3 linked regions of the Daphnia pulex genome follow. The protein of the gene in region 2 interacts with the protein of the main gene of each other region in a pairwise test. Links are inferred from orthologs where the notes say so. Each region holds a gene or a part of one and is shown on either strand. Other genes may lie near its edges.

Region 1 (10,942 bases), on a different chromosome or scaffold from region 2:
ATGGAGTTCCATTTCGACGACGACGATTTAATATGGAACATTTCCAATGAAAAACCCGTTCACAGTCGGTTTGATAGTCTTTTGAAAAATCAATGGGAAATCGCTGCAGAGGCTGGTGTGTGCCGGTATCGACTCACCAACTTGCAAACTAAAATTCTTCCGGGGAAATATGGATTCGTTGCACAGGTATTACATCACTAAATAACCTATTCAAAGTATTCATTTTGCCAATGTTGCTGACCTATTCTGGCCAACGTGTAGCTGACACACACTTATGTGCATGAAGTTGACGAAAAGTTTGTGGTCATAAAACAATTGCAGCTCCACACACACCCAGGCAGACACGAGCAAAAGGACTGAAGGAACAATAAATTTAACTCTATATTGTCTTTCCCGATATGAATGCAGCTGAATTCAGACAGGGCAACCCAGCGGCGGCTGCCCCAAAACTTGCAGAAAGTCAACAGTCCTTTTGATGGCACTCTATTCAACTTCAACAAAGTTCCTGCCCAAGAGGTTTTGTTGAAGCCTGGCAATAAAGCAGCAGCAGCGGCAGCAACTTCTGGCAAAATAAAGGACAATGAGGCTACTGATGCTGTTGTCATAATCAATGTCAGTCCTTTGGAGTTTGGCAACAGTCTACTTGTCCCTAATGTGACAGCAAACATCCCTCAGAGAATCACCCAAGAGGGACTTGATCTCCTTGTGAGGCTAATGCTCCTGAGCACTGATGTGTGAGTATATACAAAGCCATTCTAAATATACCACTCGTCTGTACACAGGCAAACCCCCACCACCACCACTCAAGCCTCAATAGGCTAAAGTAAATAACGATTGTTTATTAAAACGTTTTCTTCCCTTTTATTTTTCGTCCTTTTACGTGCAGGAATTTGAAGGCCGGTTTCAACAGCCCCGGAGGATATGCATCTGTCAATCATCAGCATTACCATCTCTATTATTTGCGTGAGAGGCTCTACCTGGAAACAGCGGTATGCCATTTGATTTCCCATTATAATTGTTTAATAAACCCCCCCCCCCCCAAAAATAATTGGTTTTCAATAGGCTGTGGAGCCAATCGCTGGGCCTTGTTTCGCTTTAACTGATTTCCCATCGAAAGGTTTCGCATTTCAGCTGACGGATAACGATCCAGCACTCCTCGCCAAGTATACATATCGAAAACACTTTTCATCGTTGCGATCGATAATTTATTGCTGCTGTTGAATGGCCATTGTTGGAGTGCAGGAACGTGTTTACTTTGGTCTCTTACCTTTGCGCCAACGAGATTGCCCATAATCTGTTCGTGACTCGAGGGAAACGCTTCGGCGGAACTCTTACCACCGCCGATGTCTACGATACGCTGCGCGTGTTCGTCTGGGCCAGAGAACCTGCATTCGGTAACATGGACGTGTAGAACAAAAGAGAGAAAATATAATACTCAGATATAAATTTCCAAGTGGCGCAGCGTCCCTTTTAACTGGCATTTTTTCTCTCCCACTTTTTGCCCGCAGGAGTCAAAGAAGAAATAGGATTCAACCCTGCACTTTGCGAGCTGGCCGGCCACCTTTTGATCAAAGGTGCGTTTAAACTTGTGAAGAATCAGCATAATTTCTTCGACTATAACTGTCTTGAGGTCATTTTGCATTTATTTCAGAGCCACCAGCCTACCAGGTCGTGACGGAAAAAGAAGCCGCCCAACTGCTGGACAGCATCACGGCACCCTGGTTCGAGCGCGTCGGCGCCCAGATTGCCCATCTCTTTGCTTTTGCCACGTAGTCAAAAACGATCGCTCCCAGTTGACAGATGACTGACGTAAATGACCCTGTTGTAATTAAATCGCGCCAGCTTTTTTCTCTCGACCAGCTCAACTGGTTCCGTGAGGTTGTGCACAGCACAGACAACAGTAACGATTTTTCGGTTTATTTCGGTTTGCATCAATTTTCATTTGGAGCCGGGCCACGTTTGGCTGGGTTGAAACAATTTCAGGTCGTTTGCTGTTTTTGCCTTCGTTGTCTCTTACAAAACGCTGACCAGTGAAACACAGTTGTTTAAACTATTTTAATTTTTTATTCTGGGGGGTTTTTGTGTATATTTCATCTTGACGTGATAATTATGTTGTCAACAAAACTACGATGATAGATTCGCAGGGGGAATTCTAAAGGGCTGGAATTCCGGTAATTTATACCCCCCCCTCCCCCATTCAACCATCATTTGACAATGTCAAATGATGGTTAACGCCGTAAAAACGCCGTAAAATTCTGTTCTGTGCTGGTCACGACCGTCGTGATTCTGTAGGTTAACCGCAGTTACACTAGACATATATGTTAGAAATGATTTCTACCGTGATATTAGAGGTAGAACTAATATACTACGTTTTAATTAAAATAATTGAAACATGAAATGAAGTGAGTGAAGTTGAACTTGAAATTTATTTGATGAAATTAAATCGTCATACGTTTAAATCCAGACATGAATAACATTTTTTAGTGACGTACGGATCTCAATTGGTAGCTGTTCCCAACTCGTTTAATTCCGGATGACCGAGTCTCTGTAACTGGCGGGGGGATTTTCATATTCCGGCGGCAGATTCGGGTAAATGGTCTGATACACATTTTCTGTTGCTTCTCCTGTTGTCGTTCCTGATCCTGTCGTCGCTGGAGGTTCGTGCAGAGTAGGTGTGGGGGGTGGTGTCAGGTTTGTGGTGCTTTGGCCAGATTGGGCTGCGATTTCATTGTTAGCTGGAACGTCATTCCAGTAACGTGGAAGTTTTGGTTCTTTTTTAGTTTTCGTCCAAAATCTATCCACTGCTAACCACACACAAGCAACAGCGCAGCATTTCAGGTAGCCGGAAACCAGTTCTTGGTCGAAATTCGCCAGATTAGGCGAGATGACGTCAAAGTATCCAATTTGAAAGGTGAAGACTGGACCCATTATACCGAAAAGTCTTTGGACAATTTTCATTGCAGAATCATCCTCTTCCTCCCACTTCCAGTAGTAATCCATTTGCAATAATGTTGCAAACATAAGGTAAGCCTGAATTGCCGCTAGTGTGGGCAGCGCATTGGATAGGGCGGGGATCCACATTTCCGGAGGTGTTGAACATGTGACCCAAACAACCGGATTCCCATCGAGATGATTGTCGGGACTGCAAAGCACATCAAGTCCGTTCGGTTTGCAGGCGGCTAGAAAGTTTGGAGCCAGAGTTTCAGTTGGACCGTTGTTCACCCATAGCCAGACGAAAACACCTCCAGTAATCAACGCTACAATCCATAGCAGAAGTTGAAACAACACCAGCAATATGCCTGCAGAACGGTTTGATGATGAAACAGAACGGAATCTTTTCTTTGCGAGTAGGATGCCTGACATCAAGAGACTTACACAGCAAAAACATGTTCCTTGTAGAAAACAGACACTGTATTTTTCTCTCGGGTTACTGGATTTCATCGGATAGTTAATTTTATCGTACTCGTTGCATGTTATTTTTATTGGTTTTCCATTAATGTCCGGTTGATTAGGAGGTAGTTTGACAAAACAGATTAAAAATGTCCACACAACGATAAGTGTAATCACGTATCCGATCAGGTTTGAAAAAGCTTTTTTCCCTTTTGCGAATTTCGTCATGGTGATATGAATCGCTGTTTAGTTTGATGATTATCCGCTTCGTCTAGCGGTCGTATATATATCATTCCATGGACAGAAACTTGCTCTGCAGTTGTTGAACCGGCAATTAATCGTAAATTTCGGGATAATCAACTTGGATTTTTATTTTTTAAATTTCGTTTTTCGTTAACTTACATTTTAACGAATAATGTTCAAAAGAAATTACGAATATGCGACAATCCCTTATCTCGTAATTTGTATTGTCAAAAGTACACTTGGCTTGAATTTGACACGAAAAAGAAAACATTCGAATCTTCGTTTAAGTGGAATTTCAAATTTCATACAGTTCTCTTCGATTGTTGACTCATCTTATCGAGTTTTTTCTTAAAGCAATTCACTTCAACATTAGAAAGCACGCTCTATCATTCCTTGGGCGTAGTTAACGATAACTAAGTCGACAAGATAAGACTCGCCTACGTTGACTTCGTTCACCAACACCAGAAGAATTTGGCAATTCAAATTAAAAAAAAAAAAACTAGCCAAATCCGCACTGAACTATGCCATCTAGCGTGAAGTACCTTCATATTATATGAACCTATCGGTAGGTGGCGTTTATCTTGACTACTTCAGCGACGTGGCTCTTCTGTCATTTCATTATTCCGGAGACTTGTATACTTTATATTTGGTGACCGTTCACCGGTTAATGTCTCGCAAAAATGCTAACTAAATTTGAAACGAAATCGGCCAGAGTTAAAGGCCTTTCCTTCCATCCCAAGCGACCATGGATTCTAACGAGGTACGTGTTTTTGCATACTTTGATTCCCGTCTTGAAGTCGGCAGTTGTCAAAGTCTGAATTGTTTTAATTGAATTTTTGTCATTTAGCTTGCATAGCGGAGTAATTCAACTATGGGATTATCGTATGTGTGCGTTGCTGGATAAATTCGATGAGCACGATGGACCTGTACGTGGAATCTGTTTCCATAGTCAGCAGCCCCTCTTTGTTTCTGGTGGCGATGATTACAAAATTAAGGTACCCACCCTTGCCTGACTTGACAAATTAACAAATGCCAATAATGTATGCTGTTCCTTTAGGTCTGGAACTACAAGCTGCGGCGCTGTCAATTCACATTGTCTGGCCACATGGACTACATTCGTACCACAGTCTTCCATCACGAATACCCATGGATTTTGAGCGCCTCTGATGATCAAACTATTAGAATCTGGAACTGGCAAAGCAGAGCTTGTGTATCTGTTTTGACTGGCCATAACCACTATGTCATGTGTGCCCAGTTTCACCCCACAGAAGATTTGATTGTTTCTGCATCCCTGGATCAAACTGTCAGAGTTTGGGACATTTCTGGTATTAACAGTTGTCAACCATTTTTCACTGTCAAGATCACATCATTATTTCTATTTTTGTTAGGTTTGAGAAAAAAGAATGTGGCACCTGGACCTGGAGGTCTCGATGAACACCTCCGTAATCCTGGAGCCACCGATTTATTTGGCCAAGCTGACGCAGTTGTTCGCCATGTTTTGGAGGGGCACGATCGCGGAGTGAATTGGGCAGCATTTCATCCGACACTTCCGTTGGTCATCTCGGGTGCTGACGATCGCCAGATCAAGTTGTGGCGAATGAGTGAATCTAAGGTGACGAGAGCACAGCAGAAATGACTTGTTAATCTTCTGAAAATAACTTTTTTGTTTCTCCGTATTGTGAACAGGCATGGGAAGTCGATACGTGCCGTGGCCATTACAACAATGTTTCTTGCGTCTTGTTCCATCCTAAACAAGAGCTGATCCTTTCCAACTCGGAAGACAAGAGTATCCGCGTTTGGGACCTCACGAAGAGGACGTGCCTCAACACTTTCCGTCGTGAACACGACCGTTTCTGGGTTATGGCTGCCCATCCAACTTTGGGTCTATTCGCAGCAGGTAAATTAACATTCTGTAACATTTCAAATTGGATCACGCTAATAATGCTAATGTGTTGTTTATTCAGGGCACGATTCCGGAATGGTGATCTTTAAGCTGGAGCGAGAAAGGCCTGCGTACAGCTTGCACGGCAATCTGCTATTTTACGTCAAGGAGCGTACCCTTCGTCGGTTGGATCTTACCACGTCGAAAGATACCGGTTTGCTGCAGTTGAGGGGCAACGCTCGCACGCCGATCCACAGCATCTCGTACAATCCTGCCGAGCAGTCTGTTCTGGTTGTCACTCGCGCTGCCAATTTAGACAATTCCATCTACGAGCTCTACTCGGTTCCAGTTGAAGCCGATTGTCCGCAAGATGGTGGCGATGGAAAACGCTCAACAGGTGTGACTGCCATCTGGGTCGCTCGCAATCGTTTTGCTGTCTTGGATCGTAACCACACGGTATGCCACGACTATAAACACCGGGTTAATGTTGGTTTTCTACAATAATTTTATTTCATTTTTCATTTTTTAGATCGTCATCAAAAACGAAAAGAACGAAGTCAGCAAGAAAATTCAGACACCTCCGTGTGATGAAATCTTTTATGCTGGTACTGGATGCGTTTTACTTCGTGATACGGAAGGCTTGACCTTATTTGATATCCAACAGAAACGTAGTGCTGGACAGGTAATAAAACTAAGCAAGTAGGTCATTCCAAGAACAACCATGTTCATTCAAAATTTTCTATGCAGGTTAAAATGACCAAATGTCGCCATGTCGTTTGGTCGGCGGACATGAGTCACGTTGCATTACTGGGCAAGCACGTCTTGACCATCGCCAACCGTCGTCTTGAAGTGCTGTGCACCATCCAGGAGAACGCCAGACTCAAGTCTGCTACCTGGGAAGATTCGGGTGTTCTGATCTACACCACTAGCCACCACATCAAGTATTCATTGATCAACGGCGATCACGGCATCATCCGCACCCTAGATCTGCCCGTGTATCTCACCCGTGTCAAGGGCAAGGCTATCTACTGTTTGGATCGCGATGCCCGTCCTCGCATGTTCCAGGTGGATCCCACCGAATACTGCTTCAAGTTGGCCCTGGTCAACCGAAAGTACGACGAAGTGTTGCACATGGTTCGACACGCCAAACTTGTCGGCCAATCGATCATCGCTTATTTGCAGCAAAAAGGTTATCCAGAGGTTGCCCTACACTTTGTCAAAGACGAAAAGACTCGACTGGCCCTGGCTCTCCAATGTGGCAACATTGAAGCAGCTCTTGAAGCCGCCAAGGCTCTAGACGACAAGTTCTGTTGGGAGAAACTTGGCGAAGCTGCCCTTCTTCAAGGTCAGGATTCTCGCTATTAGTTTTTTTTTAATGATGTTTAACTTACTTTATATTGGATCTGTAGGCAACCACCAGGTCGTTGAGATGTGCTATCAAAGGACAAAGAATTTCAACAAGTTGGCCTTTTTGTATCTGATTACTGGCAACCTCGACAAGCTAAGAAAGATGATGAAGATTGCTGAAATTCGCAAGGACACTTCGGGTCAATACCAATCGGCCCTTTTGCTAGGGGATATGCAAGAACGTGTCAAGGTGCTTCGTAACTGCGGACAGGTAATACGGGACGGTTCAGTTAACTAAGTTTTGAATGATAGTAATGTTTAAACATGGTCTAGACGAGCTTGGCTTTCCTTACTGCCGCTACCCATGGGCTTAATGAAGAGGCCGAACTACTGCAACAACAACTGGAAGCAGCCGGTCAACCAGTACCTACTGTAAATCCATCTGCTGTGTTCTTGCAGCCGCCTCCTCCAATTGCTCAGGCGGAATCCAACTGGCCATTGTTGACCGTTTCCAAGGTACGCCATTGTTCATTTGATAGATTTTAATGGGAGGGAACTTTAACATTTGAAATGAACTGGAACAGGGATTTTTCGATGGAGCCATGGCAGCTCGTACCATTGCTTCTGGATCTGCTGTTGCTACCGAGGAAGATGCCGGTGAACCTGATGGCTGGGGAGATGATGCTGATCTTGGTCTTGATGATGAAGATAAACCGGTTGGATCGGCTGGCAATGCCGAGAGCGGAGATGAAGAAGGTGGCTGGGAAGTGGGTGATGAAGATTTAGAGTTACCATCCGATTTGAGCGTTGCTGCTCATGGAGGTGAAGACGAAGACCGCGGTTATTACGTGCCACCCACTCGTGGTCAGCCTCCTCTGCAAGGATGGGCCACTCATTCGCAATTGGTTATTGATCACGCTTCAGCTGGCTCCTATGAATCTGCTTTCCGTCTCCTCCATGACCAGATTGGTGTCGTTAATTTTGCACCGTTCAAGTACGTACAATAACTGTTAATTCCTTCGTCATTTGCTTATAACATAGCGTTTCTTTCTACTCCGTTAGGCCATTGTTTACCGCAGCCTTCGCCAAATCACGAACTATGTTTGCTGGATTGCCTAATCTACCTTCCCTGGCCGCATACCCACAGCGTAACTGGAGGGAAGTTGCTGCCTCCTCTAAAGTTCACGGATTACCTGCACTTGGTGTTCGCTTGGCTGATTTAGCTCAAAGGCTTCAGGTAGGCCATCATTTTATTTTATTTTTTTTTTTTCAATTTGGGAAAGTAGTTAAATTATATTTAATTCGGTTGACAGATCTGCTATCAACTGACGACTGCTGGCAAATTCAACGAAGCTGTTGATCGTTTCCGCCTGCTTTTGTTAAATGTTCCACTCTTGGTGGTCGACAACAAAGAAGAAGTTCGCAAGGCCCAAGAATTAATTGCCATCTGTCGGGAGTATATTGTTGGCCTTAGCATGGAAGCTGCTCGTAAAGATTTGCCCAAGGAGAGTTTAGAGGATCAGAAGCGTAGCTGTGAAATGGCAGCCTACTTCACCCACTCAGAGCTGCAACCCATCCATCAGATCTTAACTTTGAGAACGGCGCTGAATCTTAGTTTCAAACTCAAAAACTTCCGCACTGCGGCCTCCTTTGCCCGGCGCCTCCTGGAACTTGGACCTAAACCCGAAGTGGCGCAACAAACTCGCAAAATCCTTCAGGTACTTCATCTGGAAGTTTATTGTGGTAACTCATGCTCAATTTTTTTTTATTTTGTGTCCACAGGCATGCGATAAAGGTGCAAATGATGAAGTCCAGCTCCACTACGATGAGCACAACCCGTTCAACTTGTGCGCTAAAACTTACACGCCCATCTATCGCGGAAAACCAGAAGAAAAGTGCCCTCTTTGTAGTTCAATTTACCAACCTTCATTGAAGGGATCCTTGTGTCAAGTTTGTACCGTTGCTGAAATTGGAAAGGATTGCATCGGATTGCGGATTAGTACCGCCCAATTTCGATAAACGAAACGTTCGTGTCCCTTGATAATTCCAGTATCGTTTATTTTATCAACTGGCCGAACCCCAGTCTTTTGATCAACAGTTTGTTATTTTTCTTTCGCTATTTGCTATGTTGGTTTGTTAATTTTGGGGTACTAGATACATTGAAGTTATACAACAAACACCTTTGGAGAACCAGTTCTAATTCAAGTATAAACTATAAAGCTATCTTCTAAACATATCCGTGTTGCTTGATTTATTTTCTGGAATTCTCGATACAAACTGATCATAATATAAAACTGTTTAATTGAGACATTACAGCTTTAAAATCAACATTATCGGGGTTTACGTTGGTAAACAAATCATAAGTTGAACAAATCACCTTTGGGTCCAAGATCTGATCTTCCAGAGGTCTACAGGTTATTTTATACACAAATATTAGACCTGATATCACAATTGAGATTCCTATGGGACAGAGCAAATGCCATGGCTTAAGCTTCTTTTCTTGATCCCCTAATTCAGGTTCTGGCTGAGTTAGATGATTCCATTTGTCAAGCAGACTAGTGATAGTGTTGTTCTCCTGTCAAGGATCAAAGAAATAATACTTGTAGGAGGTCAAAGTACAGTAACTGTTGTCTACCTGTACTCCAACATCCTGTCCTAAGCTCCCCATCCACCTCATGTTTGCATTTTTCAATATTTGGGCAGACATGTTGAGAACATTGAGGATTTCATTTTTCAGACGATAGAGCTTGGTCTGATTTTGAGTGATGTAAGCTATGCAAGAAGGACGCACACCTCCTCTTGCCTGAGAATCCTTCAAAGTAAAGTAATGAAGGATGGCATGGAAATTCTGAATGATGTTGGTCCGAATGCAAGGCACATCAGATATTTCATCCAACTTTTCCCTGTGGGATTAAAATAGTATGAAATAACCCAAAGAATTTTTGAATAATTTAAAATAAATACCCTGGAAAATTCTGATAATCTGTTGTCATTATGTAAAGAAGAAATTCATCCAGATTGAAATTCTCATTGTTATTCAGATGAGGTAGAACAGCTGGGATAGTCAAAACACAACGAGGCCCTTCGACTTCACAGAATTCGCTTATTAGAATAAAGTCTCTAATCGTTTGGCTACTAGCCATGTTATTATTGATTATTACAAAGACTTTTCATTAGGCTGTACAAGCAATTTAACGTGCAAATATTTATTTAAGTTACCCATACGAAGTAAGTACAATGACAATCACATTAAACCAACATTGTGTTGATTTTGAAAGACGAGTGAACTTTTGTCTTGGTGACAGTCCAGCAGGGACGTCTGCTAGGTGGTTCGTGGTGGTGACAAAATTTGTTGCTAGATGGCAGTAAAGAAGGAAGATCGGACCAGACGAAAAGTTTGATACGAAAAATTTTGTTTAACAAAACTTGTTTTTGGATTTGTAGTTGTGTAAATATAATTTGTAATCATGGATTCGTCAGAAACATTTTCTGGCGACTTAAAAACAATACCAGAAGACTTGGAAATAGATATAAGTGAAGTCGAAGAATTGCGGGTTTGTAACATTCCATTATTAAGTACTGATTTTATTTACACTAAGATTGGCTGCGTATCGTGCAGGAAATCGGACGAGGAACTTTTGGGGTGGTATACAGAGGTGTTTGGCGATCCAAAGTTGTGGCAGTTAAAAAAATTAACACATCAGCTGAACAAAAAACCTTCATGATTGAGATAAGGCAACTGTCAAGAGTATCACATCCTAATATAGTAAAGCTGTATGGAGCTTCCACAAAGAGAACAGTTTGTCTTCTCATGGAATTGGCTGAAGCTTCATTATATGATGGTAAATTCCTACAGTTTTTTACACTAGAACTTTAACTACATTACTTGAGTCTAGTTCTACATTGCCGCTCCAAGATATCTTATACCTTCCATCACGCTATGAACTGGGCTCTGCAGTGTGCAAGAGGAGTAGCTTACCTACATGGTATGAAGCCTTGTGCCATCATTCACAGGTGTTTTTTCTTACATTTAACTTCATTGGTGTGTAACTAAATTAATTTCATTGTGGGGGTGCTTAC
Region 2 (10,630 bases):
CCGGCCTTCCTACTCCTTCTTTCGAAAACCAGGTTCAGAAACAGGATGGCCGCATTTTCTTGGGAACAGTCACCATCACTTTGGCCACGACAACATCTACCAGCACCATCACCACATCTACCACTTGCACCACTTCCGCCAGAGCCATCTCTATCTGCTCTCCATCCGGCCGTCGTCGTCGTGGTCTTGGATTGAACACCAGCCAGAAGGCCCGTGGTCTTTTCTACAACGACGAAGAGGAGGAATCCGAGACCGGCAGCATCTTCACCCGCTCTGAGTAAGTATTTAATGCACTCTGCAGTATTTGATAAGACTACGGTATAATTATAATCAACTTTTGGCATTATTTTAGTGAACCCGAAGTCGTCGCCGTCGCCCCAGTTGAAGATGCTGAACGCCAATCTCGTTCTACTCCCGCCATGGTCCCCTTCGTCGTTCAGCCCGGATTCAACGCCCCCGAAGGCGTCCGAGGTGGTCGTTTCTTGGTTACCTTCGGAACATCCACCAGCATCACCACGACGACTACCACTTACACTGCCATTTTGACAGCTGCATGCAGAAGCACCACCAGCTTCAATACTTGCACTGGCAACGGCAAATAAGTTTAGTCGTTCTCCTAGCTGCCCTTCAAGTGATGACAACAGGCCTCCGTTAATTATTCTGTAACCACGATTGTTTCCGTTGCCAACTTCTTGGCAATCGGCGCATTGTGGCAGCTTTTCTTTCCTTATTTAACTTAATCTTAACTGCGAGATGTATTCTTATGACTGGTTTGATTGAAATGCCGCGCTCTCTGCTTATGAACGACCATTCTTTCCCATCAGGCAAAAGAATTTAGCTCAAAGTGATCTAATGTTATTGCTGATTTCACTATAAGGAGGATGCCTTTGCTTAAAGGCGTCCGCCAGCTTCTTAAAATGTGTTGCCGTACACTCCATCTAGCCAATAGAATCTGATGTAATGATATTACAATAAACAGTGCAGCAATCCAACGTCCTTTTCTTATGATTAATTTTTTCGGTTTACTCTTTTATAAAAAATTATTATAAATGACCTACTATAAACCTTAATACGGATTATTATTGGAAAATCAGAGTTGAATCGTTTTTTAGATTGTAATGAAAAACAAATATTAGAGCTCTGATATAATTATTCGATATCTAATTATTCCAGCAGCATTAATTCATTTCGTTGTCGTATTGAAAACACGAAATGATAAGAAATTGCATCATGCCTGTACCATTGTTTAATTCAATTAATTTTACAGGTTTGACATGACGAGAAATTCTTTAAATTCTTCTTTTCATGGATAACTAAGCGAGAAAATAAGAAGAGCTAATTATATACTTCGTGTTGTTCGCGCAGCACATCAGCAACGCCAGATTGAAATAATGCAAATTCACCCGAGTGGCACTGTCCCAAGAAAGATCAAAATAACAAAAGCATTGCGGCATCTTCTTAGGTTAAATATTTGACTAGCGGGAGGATGGTCATGACTTGTTCACCTTATTGTCCTAGATCGATCAATCAAAAAAAGGATCCTGCATATTATCGCCCTGAAATGCGGATTGAAGAAGCTGCACGCGAAGCGCGCTTCTTCTCCCGGGCGGAGAAATTGAAGCGCGGGTGATCTGAATTTAATTACGAAACCGTCTTGAATTAGAAATTATAGCCAGTCGGCGGCACTCAACGAGCACTACTAATGTGTTGAGAGACAAGAAATGGTAGCAGTACGAAGTTAATTCACAACTCGATTTGGGCGTGGTTGGAGTGTCAGCTTTGTAGAGCATTGTCCGACTATGGCCGTGAAAACTAGATGTACCGCAGGAGTGGTCAACGCTCTTTCAAGAATAATCGACGCATGCACAGTTTCATTGATTTTATTCCAAGATTTAAATATGATGCAACTGATGGTCAAGACAAATTTTCAAAGCACATTTTTTTCGAATACAATCTGGTAAGCCATACAGAACGGGACCGTGCGATTATTTAAGTTTCTAGTTTGAATGTTTTCATCTTCTAAATATTTGAGTACTACTTCGTATACAGAAAAATGAGTGGTGAACAAAAACTGGTGGCACTGCTGTTGAACTGAGAATTGCCCAGTGAACGCCTCGGAATTTACGTTAACAAAATAGGTATCACTGAATTTATAAGAAATCTTCGAAAACATATTCAATAAGAAAGTGAAATTTAAAATCTAGGGTAAGATATCTGTCCACAATTAAAACGTAAAATTTAAGCGTTACAGTATCTTAAATCTCTTGGGATTCGGGACAATCTTCCTTGTTGGTTTTAAACGACGACAAATCGATTTTTTGAATGAATCGTCGTCCGAGAGAGTCGACGCAATGCTTTCATTTAAAAATTTGGTATTACAGTTTATAGGAAACGATTGGTGCTGATCATCAATTATAGAGTCTTCAACATTTTCTTTGGGATGCGGTGAAGATTCAAAAAGTTTGAATTTTTTTGATGAATGTGAGTTCCTTGATAACAAGGATTTTGCCATCTCTTCCTTTGAATCAACTTCCAGAACAAATGTAGGCACACTCATCTTCTTCAATACTACTGGAAGTTCGACAGGTTTCAGAATTTCAAATTTTGTTTCTTCTGTGAACAATATACAGCACAATAAGATAAAAATTGTTAAAAATATTCAATAAATGTTATTTCACCTTGATCTCCATTTAATGGAGTAGCTATTTCATGAGAATATGGTTCTGACGACTCACTAATAGATGGTTCTTCTAAGTCCTGTAACTCTTTAAAATCAGAGCCCTTTAAAGCCTCAGAAATGAATTTTTTGTGTGAATGTGATTTGCATTTTGCATTCTCTTTCTCTGGATTAACTTCCAGAGCAAATCTGGGCACACTCTTCTTCACTAATACTGCTGGAAGCTGGACAGGTTTTAAGTTTTCAACTTTTTGTTCTTCTGTGAACAATATAGAGCACATTAAAATCATTTTTTTTTCTTTTTACTTGAATAAGAATCACCTTTTTCTTCATTTAATGGAGTAGCTACTTCATTAGAATATATTTCTGATGACTCACTAGATTGTTCTTTAAAGTACTGTAACACTGTAGAATCTGAGCTCTTTGAAGACTCGGAAATTAATTTGTTGACTGAATTAGGTGAGTTCTTTGTTAACAAATATTGAGCATCAATTTTTTGCTTTGCTGGAATAGCTTTCACAACTAATGTAGGCACAGTTTTCTTCACTGATATTACTGAAGGCTCATCAGATTTTAAGTTTTCTTGTTCTGTGAATAATAATATGGCACAATATTAAATTTTGTTTTGTACTCTTAAAATGTTATCTTACCTTGGTTTTCATTCAATGAAGTAGCCACTTCATTAGAATATGTTTCTGATGACTCACTAGACTGTTCTTCAAAGTGCTGTATCACTTTTTTAACCGAGCCTTTCGAAGCCCCAGCAGACTCTTTATTCTCTTCAGCTGCTAGTTCCAGCACAGTATTAATCCTTGTCGAACTATTATCCAAATAAGATCGAAAATCCACGTCTTTTTTGTCTTCTTGGTACTAGAGTAGTATGTATAAATCGCAAGAGTTAGAATCAGGTCTGCATAGCTCTTTGAAGAGAATTTGACATTAAAATACCTTAGTGAAGAAGGAACTCCAAAAATTATCTCTTTCTTGTAAAATTCCTTCCCAGCATTTTTTCAATCTGTCCATCGTGTTGGATTGTCATTTCATAGTTTCGAAATTATTGATCCATTATTTCAACAAGTAGGCCACTCTCTTAACACCAACAAGAACATAGCATCCGACGCTTTCGAGTTTTGAATTCACCTTTGCAACTTAATTTCGTCTGCTATAACTTTTGCAACAGTGTTTATCTGACAATTAGGTGATGATTGAAAATTTGAAACATATTATTCCAGAATATATGGATGAAGGAAAAATGTGGTGTATTATTCACAATTGTATCATCAAAATTAAAAATAAGAATCAAAAGACCCCAAGTAATTCCCTGAGGATTGCTTGTTTCAGGCAATCAAGAAAAATGAATTGCAAAAATTTTCAGCAGTTAATTCATTATCTTGATCCAATCTTTAAAACTGGATTTTTTTTGTATGACATGTAATCATCATATTTGAAGAATGAAATTTCAGTTTCATGTCTTACATCACTCTCCTTGAGTGTCCTTTCCGCTTTAAGGATGAGACCTTCATCATTCTCGTGGTTAATGACAGGATCATTTGTTTTAGCTCCATGTGCATGGTGCTCAATCTGTAGAAAACCATAGAAAAAACAACAAATACATAAAAATAGCAGTAAGATGTTATTCAAATAACCTTCAAAGTGTCATATTCGTATTTTCGAAAAGGTGGTGGCAGTCCCGGAGCAACACCCAACTCTTGAATTATTCTAGTTTTCAACTCTTCAGTTGTAAGGGAAAGTGGTACATTCTTTAAAACCACATTGCGAATGTTTCGATATTCAAACGACCGGATGACTCGAATAATGATCGTGGCTGTCTCCATTGATAAATTGTGCGGGGCAGTTTGTTTTGAACTGATGTGATGTTGCCACTGTCGAAATAGTTTAACAAATTTTGAATTATTACAGGGTACGCTTAAAATGTATAGAATAAATAGCTCATAATAGTTTTGAAAATTACACTCCCGACGAGGTCACACAATATTAGTAAAAGCTGATAGAAAAGAAGCAATTTAGTATTTTGGCTAATGATTCTATCTGGCAATGTTTATTTGTGCTCCACTCCTCCCCCAGTGATGACAGATCAACCGGCCACGTAGTAGAACTATTCAACAATCCTCACAACAAAATGGTTTAACATTAATACTACTTGTTTAAATCATAACAATTATTGAGCTAATTTCATGTTATAATTTTTTATAGCCGCTGAAACTAGATATCAAGAGAAGGCTTACCGCCCGTTCGGATCGCGTGAAAAGTGTCGACTTGCATCCAACAGAGCCATGGATGTTGGCCTCCTTGTATAATGGAAATGTGCATATTTGGAACCATGAATCACAACAAATCATCAAATCTTTTGAGGTAAAATGAGTACTTCATTGAATTCTTCCTTAATGACTTGACCATTACTTGCCCTTTTGTAGGTTTGTGACCTGCCTGTTCGTGCTGTCAAGTTTGTCCCAAGGAAAAACTGGGTTGTTAGTGGTTCTGATGATATGCAGGTATAGTTTTCTTGATGTCTTATCCATTTCAGATTAGATATAGTTTAATCCTCTTTAAATTGTTCCAGGTCAGAGTGTTCAACTACAACACACTTGATCGTGTGACAGCATTTGAAGCTCATTCAGACTATGTTCGTTGCATTGCTGTGCACCCCACTCAACCCTTTCTATTAACTAGCAGTGGTATGTAAATAATCTGTTTTTCTAACAGATTCAGTGTTCATACAGTCTTTCTTCATTTTAGATGATATGTCAATTAAGTTGTGGAATTGGGAAAAGAACTGGGCATGCCAACAAGTCTTTGAGGGTCACACCCATTATGTTATGCAGATTGTCATCAATCCAAAAGATAACAATACATTTGCTACTGCATCTCTTGATAGAACAGTCAAGGTATGTTTTTACGAAAATATTTTGCCAGAAATTTAACTTAAAATCAATTTATTACGGTCCCTCATTCAGGTCTGGCAGTTGGGCTCGAACACACCGAATTTCACTCTTGAAGGCCACGAGAAAGGAGTAAATTGCGTCGACTATTACCACGCCGGCGACAAACCTTACTTAATTTCAGGTGCAGATGATCGGCTTGTTAAAATTTGGGATTACCAGAATAAAACCTGCGTCCAAACTTTGGAAGGGCATGCACAGAATATTTCTTCTGTTGCCTTCCACCCCGAACTTCCAATTCTGCTTACTGGATCTGAAGATGGAACAGTCAGGTAAATTTATTATTCTCTTTATTTATTTTTTAGTCAAGTATACTATTTTCTCTAAATCGTAGAGTATGGCATTCAAATACCTACCGGTTGGAGACTACTCTCAATTATGGGCTGGAGCGTGTCTGGACCATTTGTTGTTTGCCTGGGTCTAATAACATCGCTTTGGGCTACGATGAAGGATCTATCATGATTAAATTGGGCCGAGAGGAACCTGCAATGTCCATGGATCAAAGCGGTAAAATTATCTGGGCCAAACATTCAGAGATCCAGCAGGCCAATCTCAAAGCGCTGCCGGACTCGGAGATCAAGGATGGAGAACGTCTTCCTCTTGCCATCAAGGATATGGGTGCATGCGAGATTTACCCTCAAACTGTCGCTCACAATCCAAACGGAAGGTATGTTTGCTAACTGCTCATGGCATAGAAACCAGTAAATAATAAAATTCCGTTTCATAATAGATTCGTCGTTGTTTGTGGTGACGGCGAGTACATCATCTATACAGCTATGGCTCTGCGAAACAAAGCTTTCGGTTCAGCTTTGGAGTTTGTGTGGGCAGTGGACTCATCCGAGTATGCTGTTCGTGAAAGTGCCACGTCGGTCAAAGTTTTTAAGAACTTCAAGGAAAAGAAACAATTCAAACCAGAGCTGGGAGCCGAAGGTATATTGTGCATAGTAATTGAAAACAGAATGAAATATTGATTCTAATTAAAATTTTACATTCACAGGAATCTTTGGTGGAGCAATGCTTGGGGTCCGGTCTACCAACAGCTTAGCTTTTTACGAATGGGACAATCTGACACTGATTCGTCGGATTGAGATCCAGCCACGTGGTGTGTATTGGTCGGAAAATGGTGAATTAGTTTGCATTTCTACCGAAGACAGCTATTTTGTTTTGCGTTATGATGCTGATGCCGTGGCCAAAAGCCTTGAAACCAAAGAAGGCTTGACCGACGATGCCGGAATTGAGGTGATTTTATTTAAAGACAAAGTGTTAGTACATTTTTAAAAAATATTTTCTGAATGTTTAGACGGCGTTCGAAATGTTATCTGAAGTGCAAGAAAGTGTTAAGACGGGACTTTGGGTGGGCGATTGCTTTATCTACACCAACAGTGCCAACCGATTAAATTATTACGTCGGTGGGGAAATTGTCACAGTGGCCCATCTCGACAGGTATGGCTTGAAAGTTCACCATTCTTGCAATAATCAAACCGATACTATTAAACCCATGTGTAACTTTTGTTTCCAGAGTGATGTACTTGTTGGGCTACATTCCCAAGGACAACAGTCTTTACTTGGGCGACAAGGAGCTAAATGTAGTTTCCTACGGCCTGCAACTCTCGGTGCTTGAATATCAAACCGCAGTTATGCGACGAGACTTCGAAACAGCTGACCGAGTGCTCCCGTCGGTTCCCAAAGAGCAACGCACTCGAGTGGCTCATTTTCTTGAGAAGCAGGGATTCAAAGAACAGGCATTGGCAGTCTCCGCTGATCCTGAGCATCGCTTCGAACTGTCACTTCAGCTTGGTCAATTGCAACTGGCCTACCAACTAGCCTGCGAGGCTCAGAGTGAGCACAAGTGGAAACAACTTGCTGATCTGGCCACAACCAAATGTCAGTTTGAGTTGGCTCAAGAGTGTCTTCACAAGGCACAGGATTTCGGAGGACTCCTACTTTTGGCTACAGCATCCGGTATGTCATTTTACATTGTTTCGTCCTTTGTTCAGATAGTTAATATGTTGAATGTTCAGGTAATGCCGAAATGGTGCAGCGATTAGGCGATGACGCAATTGGAGCTGGCATGAACAACGTTGCCTTTTTGACGCGCTTCCTGAGTGGCGATTTGAACGCTTGCCTTGAGATCTTGATCAACACCCAACGCATTCCCGAGGCTGCCTTCTTTGCTCGCACTTATCTGCCTAGCCAAATCTCGCGCGTGGTCCAGCTCTGGAAGCTCAGTCTTAGCCAGGTCAATGCAAAAGCTAGCCAAAGCCTGGCTGATCCTGCCCAGTATGACAATCTCTTCCCTGGCTTGATGGATGCTCTCAAGACGGAACAGTTTCTTGAACAGAGACGTCAACAGTTGCCGGCCTCGGCTTACTCTTCGCTGCCCAACAATTGGGAGAGACACCCAGTAGAGGAGATGAGACTAGCCGAACAGAACGATCAATTCCATCATGTTACGCCCGCTAAAGTGTCCTTTGTGGAGGAGGAGAAGGAAGTTGAAGAAACCAATGAGCAAACGAATTTGAATCCTTCCGCCGGTTCGCTCCTCATACCAGAACCTGTGGGAGTCGCCGCCGCCGCCAGCCAACCTAAAAATCTTCTAGATGACGACGAAGAAGATTTCCAGCCTGCAGTTTCTGAACCAGCCCAGGGCACCAGCCAACTTGACCAAGATCTGGAGCTTGACTTGGAAAATTTGGAGCTAGACGATAACGTCGATACGTCGGAAGTGAATTTGGACGACGATCTACTCGACGATTAAAAATATGGAAGTGAACCACCCCAATTATTATTCAAAAAAATTTTTTTTTTACAAATATTTTGTCCGTATTTTGTTCAAGTTTTCAGCTTTCTCTTGAAGGAACAATGTTGTCTTGTGAGACATCTCCAACACTGATGTGGAAGACAATGTCGATATTCCAGTTAATTTGAATTGAAGTGTTTCGCCGTTCCATCTTTCGCTACAAACGAAACAATTCTACATACATTCTTGTTATACTTGAACTAGATGAGTTGAGTTCAATATAAAAAAAGTACTATCCTTCATTGTCTCCCTATGTCAATATTTTAATTTCTTTTAGTTTTGGCGCTTCGCCATGAAGTAAATTACATGCGTGTGATGACATTTTACCATTTTGTATTTTAGACCACAGAACGATTGGAATGCCGTGGAGTAATCCGACCTGAACAGTTTTCAAACGCGTAAGGTAACATGAGCGGGACATTTATGACGGTTTAGCTGTGATGTCATCGGAACCCCCCGCGGACCTGCCAAGAAGTAATGTCTTTTTAAAGGAGCTGCGGTAGGCCTACTTTAGATGTGAGTAAGCGGTCTCACGAAAGACAGAGATGTTCTCTCGCCGATGCCGTTGGGTGGGTGGTCGAGATTTAGTTCCAGTAGTAGCCGAGATCGAATGTTGACAACAAAAACGAACTCTTAACCATTTGGGATGAATATGATTTTGCCAATGTGGCAATCTGAGTTTGGCACGCCATCACGTGACACGGTGCCGATTACGAGGTTATAAGAAAGACGGAGCGAACCAAATGAAAACAAATAAAAAATGGAGAAAAACAGTCGTGTATTAAAGCTAAAGGGGGTACTCTTACAAGTTGACGATAGGGCAGTGGGAGTAACACTAATCTCCTTTCTAAGAAACTGGGAGGTCACTGGTGATATCAGCAACTGCTTCACGGTCGCAGCCCAGTCAAAAGGGCTGTCGGGATTTTTTTAAAAATGAAATTCAATCGCTGCTTGTGCTGAGTCGGTCTGTGTCCCTGTACCACAAAAACTCTTTTGAGTAAAAAAATCTTGTTCGAATAGAACTGGGATAGAAAAAAAACAAGGGAGAGAGAGATTAAACGGGATAGTCCTAATGAGAAGATATAAATAGTGTTGCTCAATAGGTTTGTATAGTAGCAGACATCGAATGCACGATTTTCAGCCTGTTAGCCATCATTAGGTAGTTGGGAGCTGCTGGGCGACTAGGTAACCCTCGAAAATAACAAAACCGAATGTTGGAGGGGGGAGAGAGGCATGGGAGTTTAACATCGCAGTATATTCGGTCGATTAAAGGTGATGTGATACGGCCTGATCTTTTCCTTGTCGAATCCACACCATCGCAGTTCGAAAGGTTCTCCTTTTTCGAATGTTATTCTAAAATAAAAAAAAACAATCTTATATTCGGCCAATTTAACCCTCGTTAAAATTGGTTCCTGACTAAACATTGGAGTCACGTTACTACGGAAATACTCCCTCCCTCCATTAGTTTAGTACATGGCTCGTTTCACTATAACACACACACACAAAAAAACGCAGCACAACAAAAGTTTTGTGTACTAATAAAATCGGGGTGCGTTATTACGATAATGAAAGAATGAGCTCGCACGCCGATGTATTAATACGCAGTGCACAGCATCCAGTCGAGCCGATAATCATAAAGAAAACACTGGTGATCATTGATGACTTTGTTTGTCAAAATATTTTCCTTTTCAACCGTGATATTCAATCTATAGTCGTCTATAGCGACGCATGCTGTCGCTATATTACATTGAATTAGCCAAGCTAGCTCGCGCGTATACATGAGACCTCAGCGGACGCAGTCGACAGTTTTTTCCTTTAAATTGTATCAATACCCATAGATTACACAGAGACCAGTCATAAACACACGGAATAACTTTTGTTTTATTTATTTTTGGGGTGTAGAGACAACGGCTGTCCACGAAAAACCAAAATTAGGCTTTGCCGCTGTTGCGTCTCTTTTCTTCCTTATTTCATATCGAATTTATAAATCCTGGAATGTTTCCAAACACAAGGACAAATGAAACACTCGCCAGCAGAACGTTTGAAGAAAACAAAAGGGAATATAAGAAAAACCGAAGATATAACAAATACGTAAAAAAGACAAGTGAAAGGAAAAGTCATGGCAAGCAGGTGCGAAAGTGTCGTCGATTTATCGACCCTTTTTCTCCGGCCGGCTCTTCTTCTTCTTTTTTC
Region 3 (10,870 bases), on a different chromosome or scaffold from region 2:
TCCAGCTGTGTTTAGGGATTGTTGTCATCACCTGCTGATGTCTCATCGGGTTTCAGTCCTCGTCACCTACACGACAGCTGACAAGACAACTTGTAGTTGAAAAACTGAATTAATTACCGTACAGAAGAAGAGTTAATGTTTGGGGTTACGAATGTAGAAGCAGTCCCTTATTTGAATTGAAAGTGCGTTTATGATGTAGTGCCGACATTGGATTTTTAATTTTGATATCCAAGGCCAAACACGACGAAGAAGCCATCCCTCTTTTATCGTTTCATGGATAGGGGCTCAGCAGTCTTATTGTTAGCTAGACCAGCAAAAGAAGTGTGGTATACAGCTTACTCTTAAAGTAAATATTTTGAAATTGTATTTATATTATTGTTATTATTCATTTTAGCAGTGATACATTATGGATACAAAACATACTAGCTTTTTTTTTTTTCGTTACAGATATCATTGCAATGTGCAATTAATCAGCCTATGCACAACATTGACTATACCGAACCAATACTGTGTGCATTAAAATCATTCTTGAAAGCATTTCAAGTCAGTGAGCACTGACTGCACTTATAATTCAAGCAATGTAACCTTGTTTTGCCTAGTTATTGAAATTTTTGCAAATTTAAACCTTTAAACGTTTAGATGGAAGAGGGAATGATGCAAGTTGCAGCTGATGAGGATTTCGAGAAGCTTTGGCAAATGGTCGCAGATAACTCTTGGAAGCTAGAATATCAGCATGAAGACATTAATGTATGGAGCAAACATTCAAGCAGCACAGATTTAAAAATGATAAAAGTAAATTCACTCTTAAACCCCTAAAGTCTAAAATTTAACCTATAATTTTTTTTTCTAGGTGAAAACAACTTTTACTGATGTTGATATGTGGCTTTTATTTGACCTCCTCATGGATGGGGAGTATCGTTCACTCTGGGATACTGCTATGGTTGAGTCTTATACTTTGGGTTTCTTAAATCCCAACAATGATGTTGGTTATTATGCCAGTGAGTATTTTTGAAGGTTGGGGAAAGTTCTCTTTTCAAAGCCTAATAACGGTTTGGTCGATATATGTAGTGTCGTGCCCGCCGCCGATTCAGAACCGCGATTTCGTCCTTCAACGTTCGTGGTTAGCCACTCCCAAGAAAATTTCTATCCTAAATCATTCCATTACGCACAAAGACCTTCCCCCCAAAAAATATTTCGTCAGAGGAATATCCTACATAACAGGTTTCTTTTTCACAAATTCTTTTTCACAGCAATACTTAACCGCAAAGTTGTTCTGCATAGGCTACGTAATTGAACCTTTACCGGGGAAATCCAAGGGCCTGACACTCGCATATGTGTCTGCAACTGATCCCAGAGGAGCAATTCCCACTTGGGCCGTCAATAAAGGCACTCAATATTTTGCACCAAAGGTAATAGAAATAAAAATTTATTGAAAGCAGAAAGTTAATAACTGTGAAGTTGTTTCCTGGAATCTACTATAGATGATGAAAACGTTGCACAAAGCATGTCGGGGATATTTAGAATGGAAACAGCTACATAGTCCGGGTTTTAAGCCATGGCTGTATCCTGAACAGATGGACTATCCAAAACTACTAGTCGACCAAGTAATGTGAAATTTAAATGCTTTGTCCTATTTAACGCCTGTTTAACTTTCGTGATTTTAAAATATGTAGAACACCACTGTAAATGGTGCTAACAAGATTATGTTGAACGACAAAGGGAACAATCGAGACAGCAAAGAAATGGCGTCAATTTAAGTTAAGCATTTCCCAATATCGCGCACAAGTATGCTAGTTTTAATTTAATTTTGGTCCTATCTCAAAGTTCCGTATTTGCATGCATTGATTAATTTTATATGCAAAGAGCAGCAATTGTGAACTACATTTTAATATAACAGCCCACAGTTATATTGATGATGCAAAACTAATCAAGTAACAACTGCATTCCAAATATTTCTAAAAGAATGTAGATGAGGGGAAAATACTTGCAACAAATAGACATTTGAATTTGGGAAAAGTTTTGAATCATAGAAAATGAATGAAAAAAGTATGGAAATAATTGTAGAGGAAAATTCTACAATTACATTTTAAGCCACAGGAGACTTTACAGAAGCCTTTTGAATCGTGTTAATTTTGTCGCCGAGACTGAGAGCCATTCCTTGACTCTTGGCACGAATTCGAATGTGTCCTGTAACTGGTGCGTCGGGTTTACCGAATGGTTTCTCTAAACTGAGATTAGCTAACGCATCTTCTCCAAAGACTGAACGAGCATACAAGTTGGCTGCCATGAATCCACAATCACCAGCTAGTGCCTTCTCTGGAGTCAGACACTTCATATTTGTCGATCTACACAAAGAAATTAATTTATACTAGGAAATTTAGAAGGACAAAAGAAATGATCCCACTTACTTGAGCAGATGTTGCAAATAAAGATTTAGATCGTTGATATTAGTATTGACGGTGACTTTGTTCTCCCATTCGAAATCAGCCCACATCTGTCGGAATTCAGCATCAGTGCAGCTGGCAGGCATGATATAGTCCATGATATCAATGTGAATGTCATTCAGTACCACGACGTTACGGTCCGATGTCGAGCCAGTAACATCATAGACTATATTTCCAAAGATAATACCATTCTCCGTCGATGCCACCTTTAATTAATGGATAAATACAGGCATGAAAAACAATTAGTAATAATTCATTTAGTAATAATTAAAAAGAGCATACCTTAACGCTGGCCTTAATGTTGGCGAAATCGTGCGGAGCCAAAATGATAGCCGAAGGCTTTTCTACCAGTTTCAGATCACCGAGAGTTGCCAATTCCAACGTGCAGTTTTGAAGGGTGTCAGCCGTTTGATTGACAATCAAAACATCAAGTACGATGTCGTATTGGTTCACGTTTACGTACGCTTCGGCGTATACAGGATCAGAGAAACCAGTCAACTGCGTCACCTTGTTCAGTTTTGAGACGCTCAGATCTAATCCAGTTCGCTGAGCGGATCCTACCAAAGCTTGCGACAAACTTGATTCAAATACGTCTTCGAGGCCACCAAGTTCATTGCGTGAAAGCAGTTGCTTGAAAGAGACCAAGTCGTCGGCTTGGATTGATCGGCTGTTCTTTTCTAAGTTCTTTTGGGCAGCAGCTTCTTCCTCAGCTTTGGCAGCTAACATAAGTGAAATGGATCTACGGCAGGCATCGGTAAATACTTCTACTAAAATCGGTGATCGATCCGAGAGCACCTATGTCGAAAAAGAAAATTGTAATGGGGGTTCACTCATTTTTTACCATTGATAACTTACCTTAAGGCAAAGCCCCAATCTTTCAGCATCGTCATTGCTAATTGGTTTCTGAGGCAGTCCCGAACGACCCAAATGAAGAATCGCTGCAATCACTAGCATGGCTTCGGCACAAAACTGGTTTTGCGTTTGCGGGTTCGACACTTGTTGAACAAAACGTAAGGCCAGCTTTGTCATAGTTGTAGCCATTGATGCACCAATGAAGAAATCGCCTTCCATCAGATATCTACAAAGAAATTTAATTATGAATGCAATGCTAAATGGAACGACATCAACAGAATTGACATACTTTCGAAGAGGAGGCCTTTCTTCTTTTTTGGCGGTTGTTACGGCAGCACTGAAGATAGACTGCGTAGCGTATGTACCATCTGCAGTTACCAAGCGGGCGCTAGAAGCAACAGGATTAGTAACGCTCCCAGTTCCCTGTGCTAAAGGATTTTCCGGATCGGTCTGCTCTCCTGCTGCTTTTCGGATTTCGTCATCCACGATTGGAATTTCGCCAAGCGATTGTCGCACTTTGGACATAACTGAACGAATGTCATCAGCCGAAGTGGCGTATTCGCCCAAGATCCAAATTGCTGCACGGTGCACCTTGACGGATCTTTGAAAAAAAAAAAAACATCTAATGTAGAATTGCTGCCAGTAAAAACGAAATGGAGTTATTTAAACTTACTTGATGGAAAGAAAGGCTTCTAAAAGTTTTTCGATGATTAATGGACGAAGTCCTTCGAACTTCTGAATCGCTTCGCGAACAAAGACCAAAACATCGGCGGCTGCTAGCTCGTTGGTGTCGGAAAGGAATTCAGTCAGTACAGGGATGACGGTCGCAGAAATGTCAGGAAACTTGATGCAACACGAGTGAAGAGTGCGCACCAAAAGTTGCCGATACTTTCCCGTATCTTCATGCTCGGTTGTGTTGTGCGTCTTTGTTACCTCCTACAAGATAATTCATCAATAGAAAATTATTCCTATCGATTTACCATTTCACCGGAATTCTTACCTTTTTCAAAACGAGCACGATATCTTCTATGTTTCGCGAAGACACTAAATCAAGTATAAGGGATAGTGTCTTCTTTCGTACTTCCAAATCTGGAGTAGCCAATACCCGCAAGATGTCCATCACCAATTCCTGAAATGAATTACATAATTAATATTTTGTAACATGTGAATGATTAAATTCAAGATACCTGCAAGACACGTTCTTGATTCGGCTGCTCTTTCAAGGCGATCAAACGATCCAGCACAATCAACTTCACATTATTGTCGCTTTCCTTTAAGATAATTTCGATGTAGCAACTAGCAGCAGCTGTTCAAGAAGAAGAGAAAACATATTAAGTTGGAAACCCAAATTAAATATTAGTGAATATGAATAATACCTTTAATAGCCGACGGTGCGGACGATAAGGTTACTAGAGTGCCAGCAGCTTCGTAGCGAACGGCCGGACTGGTGGCATTCAAGAGACTGTAGATACAACGAATGAAACGCGATCGCTCACTAGGATTGGCGTGACACACTTTGTAGATAAGTTCAACGATGACCAATTGCAGAATATCACCGAAGGAGTGAACCTAACAGATTTTGTTTTCCTTAAGTTTGTTTGGAAATTGGAAACCTTAAAATAGTTCTATTACTTGATCGATGCAAGAGGTAAGATAGGAGAGCGCCCTTTCTTGGTCAGCGTGAATCAACATCATGAATGCATTACGTTTACAGGACATGTCCTGTTCACGTTCTAGAAAATTGGCAATCAATTCTGGCCCGTCAGGAATGAGGAAATCAAAATTGCGGTAAATTGTGTAAATTGCCAAAACAGCATTGCGTCGAACGTAAGAATGTCGGTGCTCCAAACACGACCTGATCGATGGCATCAACGGTTCTAAGATTTCAGGTTCCTAAAAAGTAAATTACAAAAGATTAGCTTATCAATAAATTAAGGTATAAAAGAAATTGGCTTACCTTAAGCTTGCAAAGAAAACGTAATGTTGATCCTCTAATAAATTCATTTGGATGTTGCAAATCTCTCCTGTAAGCATCACAGACGAGAATCATTTCATGCAAGAGTTTTCCATCTGCTGAAGTCTTTGGAATGATTTCCCAGAATATCAACAGAAGTTTCTTGACATTATGATCCTGAAGTGGCAGCACAAATTTGACCACTGCCATGAGGATTCCTGGAATCTTTTCTCCATTTAAAATTATGTAAATGGCCTTTTTTAAAGCATCAATCTTGGCTTTGATATCTCCAATTTCCAACTCTTTTCGCAGCTGATCTGGAGGTGGATAGTCAGAATCTGGAGTACTGATGAGGGTATAACAAGGTTGCTCAGTCACAGACATCTGTAAAAACAAAACAATACATGAATCGTGAAAACTTGGACCGGTTTACGCTCGATGAAATGTTATTGTGACAGCGACCCGCAACCCATTCGAAATCTATAACGATGGTATTTGTTGAACACTGAATAACGATTCCAAAATGTCGGATGACTTGCCTTGATTTCTTTGTATTACAACGGCTTGTTGTGTTTTCTGTGTGAGCCGTAACTATATGAAACGAAGGAAATTCACGAAACCTTTGACGTTGCAGAATGTCAGAAAATACCCACGTCAGTCGGTAAGCGACAGATCTTAATTCGTAAAATTGACAACCACGCAGCCATGTTGCCATTATGAGTTTTAATTTTGACGTTGTTTTTTTGTTATTTTTATTCAAAATAGATATTCAGTCCCAGCTTGTGTTGGTTTCCAGATTTTCCAGGCATACTCTCTCTCTGTACCATCAAAACAAGAGTTTTTGTGGGTTTCCCGGATAAACAATGTGTCAACTGCCTAGTCATCGTCACCCATGTTTCTCTGAACCACTGTGAACTTCTTCGACACGTTTGAAGCAGGTTTGAAGACCAGCACCAGTCACGTCTCCATCTTCGGCAATGGTCAGTTTGTTTTCAATGTGTAAAGGTATTTTGATGGGAGTTAGTTAGAATTTTTCGTCCATTTAATCGGCAAAGCCTTTAAGAGACGATACAATTTGTTCTTAGTTATTTGATAATAGAAATGTTCGTTCGAAATAGAATGTGCAGATGGCCACAATCTCCATACCTTCACTGCTTCACAATATGCAGATTGCATATTAATCGTCTTGCCATTAATCACAGAAAATTAGAATTGGAAACGATTAGCATCCGAAGGTACTGGCCGTTATATCTCTATTTCGTAGTTACCAGCTTTAATACGTTTAATATGGTCGTTACTTCGTTGGTTCGCTCGGCTCACTGTAGCCTATAGCTAATCGATATTAAATATTTATGTTTTATGTTATTAGCATCAAATGTAATTATGTTTGTTCAGGATACTTTTCATTTATTATTTATTTTCATCGTTTTAAACTAACTGAGGCATTGAGCAAAAGGAATCATGGAAATTTCCGCGACTATCATTGTTGCGTCTACGATGATCTTTCCTTAAAATTTGTTTTTTTTGTGTTGGTAGGCCTTCCATCTAAAAAAAGTTCAAGTATTCAAGTAAAATATCTTTAAATTTTTAAAAAACGTTTTATAATGCAAACATGTTATATTTTCAACGTAAAAGAAATTATCTTATATTTAAAAAAAGCGTGTGGGTAGAATGAGGCCATCCTCACGATAGATAAACATCACGCTTTCCCGTAAGAGGGAAACTAGGGTCTTCTTCTTTTGACGCCACCGGCAATCGGAAAGACATTTGATTTTTTCCTCACAGGCACCACAGAGCATGATGTTACAGCTAGCTATAAAGAAAGACAACTGCTGTTAGTGAACAGACGGCTCCAAGTCATCGGCCAGTATACAAGACTTTCTGATTTTCGAGTTCATTTTTAATTGGGGTGTCGTCATTCGCTGTTGAGAGTTCATCATGCGATTGTTCCTTCTATTTTTAGTTTTTTTGTTTGTATCGCCTGTTTTGTCACATTTCAGTGAAGGTAAGGAATTCACTGAAAAGTCCGTTAATGTCGTAATTTTACCCTTCAAATAACCTTACTCGGAAACTCTCACGCTAAGTTTTCTGATAACTGTTATTGTATTGCTATCGCTTCCAAGTGCCTTGCCCCTTACCATCAAAGGGCGTTAACTGAAAATAATTTCAGTTAAAAAACACTTTGGTTGAGTTTTTAACTGTAAATTTAACTTAAGTTTGTTCATCAAGCAACAAACAAATTTCATTTCATTTTTCTAATACAGAGAAAAAAGACGCAAGTTTGGAGGGCAGCCTAACAATCGAAACATCCGTGATCAATGCAAAGAATGAAACGAAATTGTTACTTCCGGATCTTCAAGTAGAATCAGTCGACGTCAATGTCGAAGAAATTTCATCAGCTACAAGTGTTGAGAGAAGGCAAAGCAGGAAAAAGAAACGTCGAAATAATAAGCGACGTCAGAATCGTATTAATCAACTGAGGAAGAAAGGTAATTTTTAAAAGTCCCAATTTTATTTAGTGATATTGTACATATTTCTGAATCACTAGGTAAAAAACCCAATGGACGCAAACGCCGCCCACAGAATGACAAGAAAGGATACGGAAAGAATAAACGACCCATTTTTAAACCAATTCAATACTTGGCTCGTTCGTCTAGTACAGATCAATTGAACAAAGCTCTGGATGAAATGCTCGAGAGTTTGTCTCTAAATTTAGCCAACGAAAATTCATCAACGTTTTCACTAAAATTGAAGTGAGTTTATTATAATTTTCTAAAAACTTTCTATACATTTACTCATTACATTGTATTGTTCTCGTCATTAGCAACTTTCGCGAGGACATGAAAATATCTCCTTGGGCTTTCCTTGCAATAAATGAAACGCAAACAACCGAAGTGGAAAGGAAAATTCGTACAGAAAGAGCCGCTGGGGATCCCGGAACGGAAGCAGTTGAAAGCGATGCAACCGAAAGTGATGAAGACGTCGATGATGATGAGACGAATGTGGAAGGGGAAGCGGCAATCGAAATCGCAACCGAAAGTATTGCTGAAGAGTCTTCCACTGTTTCGGAAGAAAAAGAGATCATAGCAACTGAAGAAGAGAATGACGACGACGATGATTATGAAACAGCCACAGAAATTTCCCTTAATTTTAAACAACCACAGAAGACTAATGCAACCCAGTTTTATCGGACCCAAAAGCCATCTCCTGTTGTGCTCGACGACGGCACTATCGAGTACAATCTTCAGCTGCTCAATGAAAACGATATTAAGCAAAGAAAACTGGAATTCAATGAGGATATTTCATCAGAAAAATTTCAGTAATACCTAACTTAAAGCAATGAAATTACAGCTTTCATTTTAATTTGCTGTTTCGTTTACAGAGATGACACTGGCCGCCCGGTCAAGAAACTGGAGGGTAAACGAGGTTCATCTCGACGCAATTCACGCAGACCAAGTGCTACTGTGGAAGGCATTGATCAGATTAAAAGGGAGGGCGATGTTTTGATTGGAGTGAGAGAAAATTCTACCACACACAATGTCGATGCTACATTAATAATCGGCCCACTCCATTTTTTTATGGATGCAAAACCAGGATTCCCTCCACAATCTCGCGTATCGTTGCCTCCGCTTTCCGCTAGACTTCGAATGACGGTCAGCAACAACTTGTTCGATTCAAATGAATTTTGTAATTAAAATAATTGTGTATATTTTTTAGGAAGTTGGAGGGAAACTGGTAGGAGTGCGATTTAAGCCTACGAAAATTCGACCTGACGAAGCATTAGTCACGTTTAAATTATGCCAAGATGGTAAAATTCCCACTAATTTGGAGACGGCACGCATTGTAACTTATTTGAGTCAAGAGATGACTAAAGTTTGGAACTCTGGAAATTTGCTCCGTCGTCTCAAACGCCAATTTAAGCAATTATTCATAGATGAAACAGTTGGCAATAAAAGAGAACATTCTAAATCTCAAGATGCCAGAATGCTTGTCGAAACATTGGCTCTTTCTGCATTTGGAGCAGCTATAAAAGACGACCCCAAATAAGTCTTTATCTGTTTTTGAATATTTATCCCCAAGTTATTGATTTACATTATGAGTTCATGTAATTAATTTCGTTATATGGTAAAATGGTATATTAACAGCGAATTTAAATAAATTGCTGACAGTATTTCTCAAATTTTAATTCAGTATAGGCTAATCGACTCTAAAAAGTATCGCTAGATGGCGAATATAGGCATTTAGCAGACCACAAATCCACGCTCAACACGTTAAGGTTTTGTCGTTTTCCCGCCAAACACACTCAGTTTCACTTCCCCAGTTTTTTGGAACAGTCTTTAGAAATTACTTGTTTTATTTCGTCGTTTAGAATTTACAAGTAAAATTTATTATATACCTTTCAGCTTATTTTAAATATTTGAAAATTCAAAATGGACGATGAAGTAATGGAAGCCCTTGATTCGGGAACGTCTTCCGAGTCAGAGTCTAACACTCCAGATTCACCACTGAAAGACATCAAATCTCCTGTTGCTAACAATAGCTCAGGTTCACTTTGCTTGAATGATCATGAAGCATTGAAAGCAAAATCTCCTTTGAGTTTGCCGAACAATATTTCAAAGCCAAAAAACGAACCAGCTTCATCATTGGTAACAGTAGATGACAACTCAAATTCAAGTGATGTTCCTCTCATCAAATTTGTGGCTTCCGCAAAGACAAATGAAACTGAGGTAAAAGAAAAGACTGTTGCTCGCAGTAGCAGCAAGAAGAAAATGCTGAAAGTCATAGTTGAATCTGATTCTTCATCTAATAGTTCTACTGATCAAGATGAGAAGCAAAATAGCAAACCAGTTTCATTGTCAAAAGTGGATGATGACTCTAATTCGAGTGATGTCCCGCTAATTAAATTTTTAGGTTCCCCTAAGAAAAAGGAAAAGAAAGAGGAAAAACAAAAGACTGTCATTAGTGGCAAGAAGAAAATATCAAAACTTGTATCCGAATCTGATTCTTCATCAGCTAACAGTTCTGACACTGTGGCTCTTGATAATGCTTCTGGTTTTAATATTGATATTCAAAAGAGTGAAATACCCAAGAGCAGTACCAAGAAAGCATCTAAGAAGACTGAAACTAGTAAGAAAATTGATCTTAAAAGAAAAAGAAGCGGCGAATCTGACTGTGAAGAAAAAGCTAATTCTAAAATCAAAAGAAAACTAGATATGTCATCTGATAGTGACTCTGATGAAATTGTTAAAGAGAAAAGTGCTACACCATTCCCAGCTTCAAAGAAGAGGAAACCTACTTCTACAACCGGTAAAAAGAATAAAGCAGATTCTACAATGACCAAGAAGAAATCAGCTCCTGCTAGCAGTAAGAAGAATGAATCTGTTCAGAATAAGAGTGTTGTGTCACCAACAAAAAGCGAGTCCAGCGTTGACCAAAAGAACCAAACTCCAAACTCTAAGCTTTCTGATCCTAAAAAGACCAAAAAGTTGGATACACGTGACATATTGGAAACACTTGATGATGACTCCAACGGAACTAGTGCTAGCAGCTCTTCAGAAGATGTAGAAATGGAGGAACCTCAAAAAACGGAAGAAAACGCAGAGGCAAAATCAAGTTCCGA

What was found.
Region 1: the proteins of coatomer subunit beta'-like (region 2) and coatomer subunit alpha-like interact in a two-hybrid assay, tested with the Homo sapiens proteins (2 studies listed by BioGRID, with this or other methods). The link is inferred for Daphnia pulex from reciprocal best matches to the Homo sapiens genes COPB2 and COPA.
Region 3: the proteins of coatomer subunit beta'-like (region 2) and coatomer subunit beta-like interact in a two-hybrid assay, tested with the Homo sapiens proteins (2 studies listed by BioGRID, with this or other methods). The link is inferred for Daphnia pulex from reciprocal best matches to the Homo sapiens genes COPB2 and COPB1.

Annotation. Positions count from the first base shown.
Region 1 is NC_060025.1:3,018,463-3,029,404, forward strand, and holds coatomer subunit alpha-like, read left to right. Parts: upstream 1-4,207; 5' UTR 4,208-4,313; coding exon 4,314-4,393; intron 4,394-4,480; coding exon 4,481-4,628; intron 4,629-4,690; coding exon 4,691-5,245; intron 5,246-5,319; coding exon 5,320-5,530; intron 5,531-5,597; coding exon 5,598-5,971; intron 5,972-6,044; coding exon 6,045-6,197; intron 6,198-6,262; coding exon 6,263-6,860; intron 6,861-6,924; coding exon 6,925-7,133; intron 7,134-7,195; coding exon 7,196-7,378; intron 7,379-7,446; coding exon 7,447-7,856; intron 7,857-7,924; coding exon 7,925-8,099; intron 8,100-8,175; coding exon 8,176-8,580; intron 8,581-8,644; coding exon 8,645-8,881; 3' UTR 8,882-9,143; downstream 9,144-10,942. Other genes in the region: GDP-D-glucose phosphorylase 1-like, read left to right, coding at 1-186, 409-734, 887-989, 1,063-1,163, 1,243-1,394, 1,509-1,574, 1,652-1,773; guanine nucleotide exchange protein smcr8a-like, read right to left, coding at 9,144-9,437, 9,498-9,765, 9,827-10,005; mitogen-activated protein kinase kinase kinase 7-like, read left to right, coding at 10,330-10,416, 10,482-10,704, 10,759-10,876. UniProt on the Homo sapiens protein: The coatomer is a cytosolic protein complex that binds to dilysine motifs and reversibly associates with Golgi non-clathrin-coated vesicles, which further mediate biosynthetic protein transport from the ER, via the Golgi up to the trans Golgi network.
Region 2 is NC_060017.1:7,288,986-7,299,615, forward strand, and holds coatomer subunit beta'-like, read left to right. Parts: upstream 1-4,652; 5' UTR 4,653-4,817; coding exon 4,818-4,820; intron 4,821-4,891; coding exon 4,892-5,050; intron 5,051-5,112; coding exon 5,113-5,190; intron 5,191-5,258; coding exon 5,259-5,373; intron 5,374-5,434; coding exon 5,435-5,583; intron 5,584-5,652; coding exon 5,653-5,909; intron 5,910-5,971; coding exon 5,972-6,304; intron 6,305-6,367; coding exon 6,368-6,567; intron 6,568-6,634; coding exon 6,635-6,876; intron 6,877-6,937; coding exon 6,938-7,080; intron 7,081-7,156; coding exon 7,157-7,599; intron 7,600-7,658; coding exon 7,659-8,395; 3' UTR 8,396-8,677; downstream 8,678-10,630. Other genes in the region: uncharacterized protein LOC124197398, read left to right, coding at 1-277, 353-602; uncharacterized protein LOC124197376, read right to left, coding at 2,246-2,613, 2,679-2,936, 2,999-3,265, 3,328-3,547, 3,626-3,700. UniProt on the Homo sapiens protein: The coatomer is a cytosolic protein complex that binds to dilysine motifs and reversibly associates with Golgi non-clathrin-coated vesicles, which further mediate biosynthetic protein transport from the ER, via the Golgi up to the trans Golgi network.
Region 3 is NC_060020.1:2,115,497-2,126,366, forward strand, and holds coatomer subunit beta-like, read right to left. Parts: upstream 5,942-10,870; 5' UTR 5,790-5,941; intron 5,635-5,789; coding exon 5,254-5,634; intron 5,190-5,253; coding exon 4,929-5,189; intron 4,866-4,928; coding exon 4,673-4,865; intron 4,603-4,672; coding exon 4,484-4,602; intron 4,426-4,483; coding exon 4,297-4,425; intron 4,233-4,296; coding exon 3,970-4,232; intron 3,898-3,969; coding exon 3,586-3,897; intron 3,523-3,585; coding exon 3,300-3,522; intron 3,240-3,299; coding exon 2,727-3,239; intron 2,651-2,726; coding exon 2,409-2,650; intron 2,346-2,408; coding exon 2,087-2,345; 3' UTR 1,870-2,086; downstream 1-1,869. Other genes in the region: START domain-containing protein 10-like, read left to right, coding at 640-792, 851-998, 1,069-1,221, 1,282-1,409, 1,482-1,604, 1,674-1,757; uncharacterized protein LOC124192347, read left to right, coding at 7,189-7,255, 7,515-7,739, 7,799-8,003, 8,075-8,569, 8,633-8,903, 8,968-9,297; dentin sialophosphoprotein-like, read left to right, coding at 9,681-10,870. UniProt on the Homo sapiens protein: The coatomer is a cytosolic protein complex that binds to dilysine motifs and reversibly associates with Golgi non-clathrin-coated vesicles, which further mediate biosynthetic protein transport from the ER, via the Golgi up to the trans Golgi network.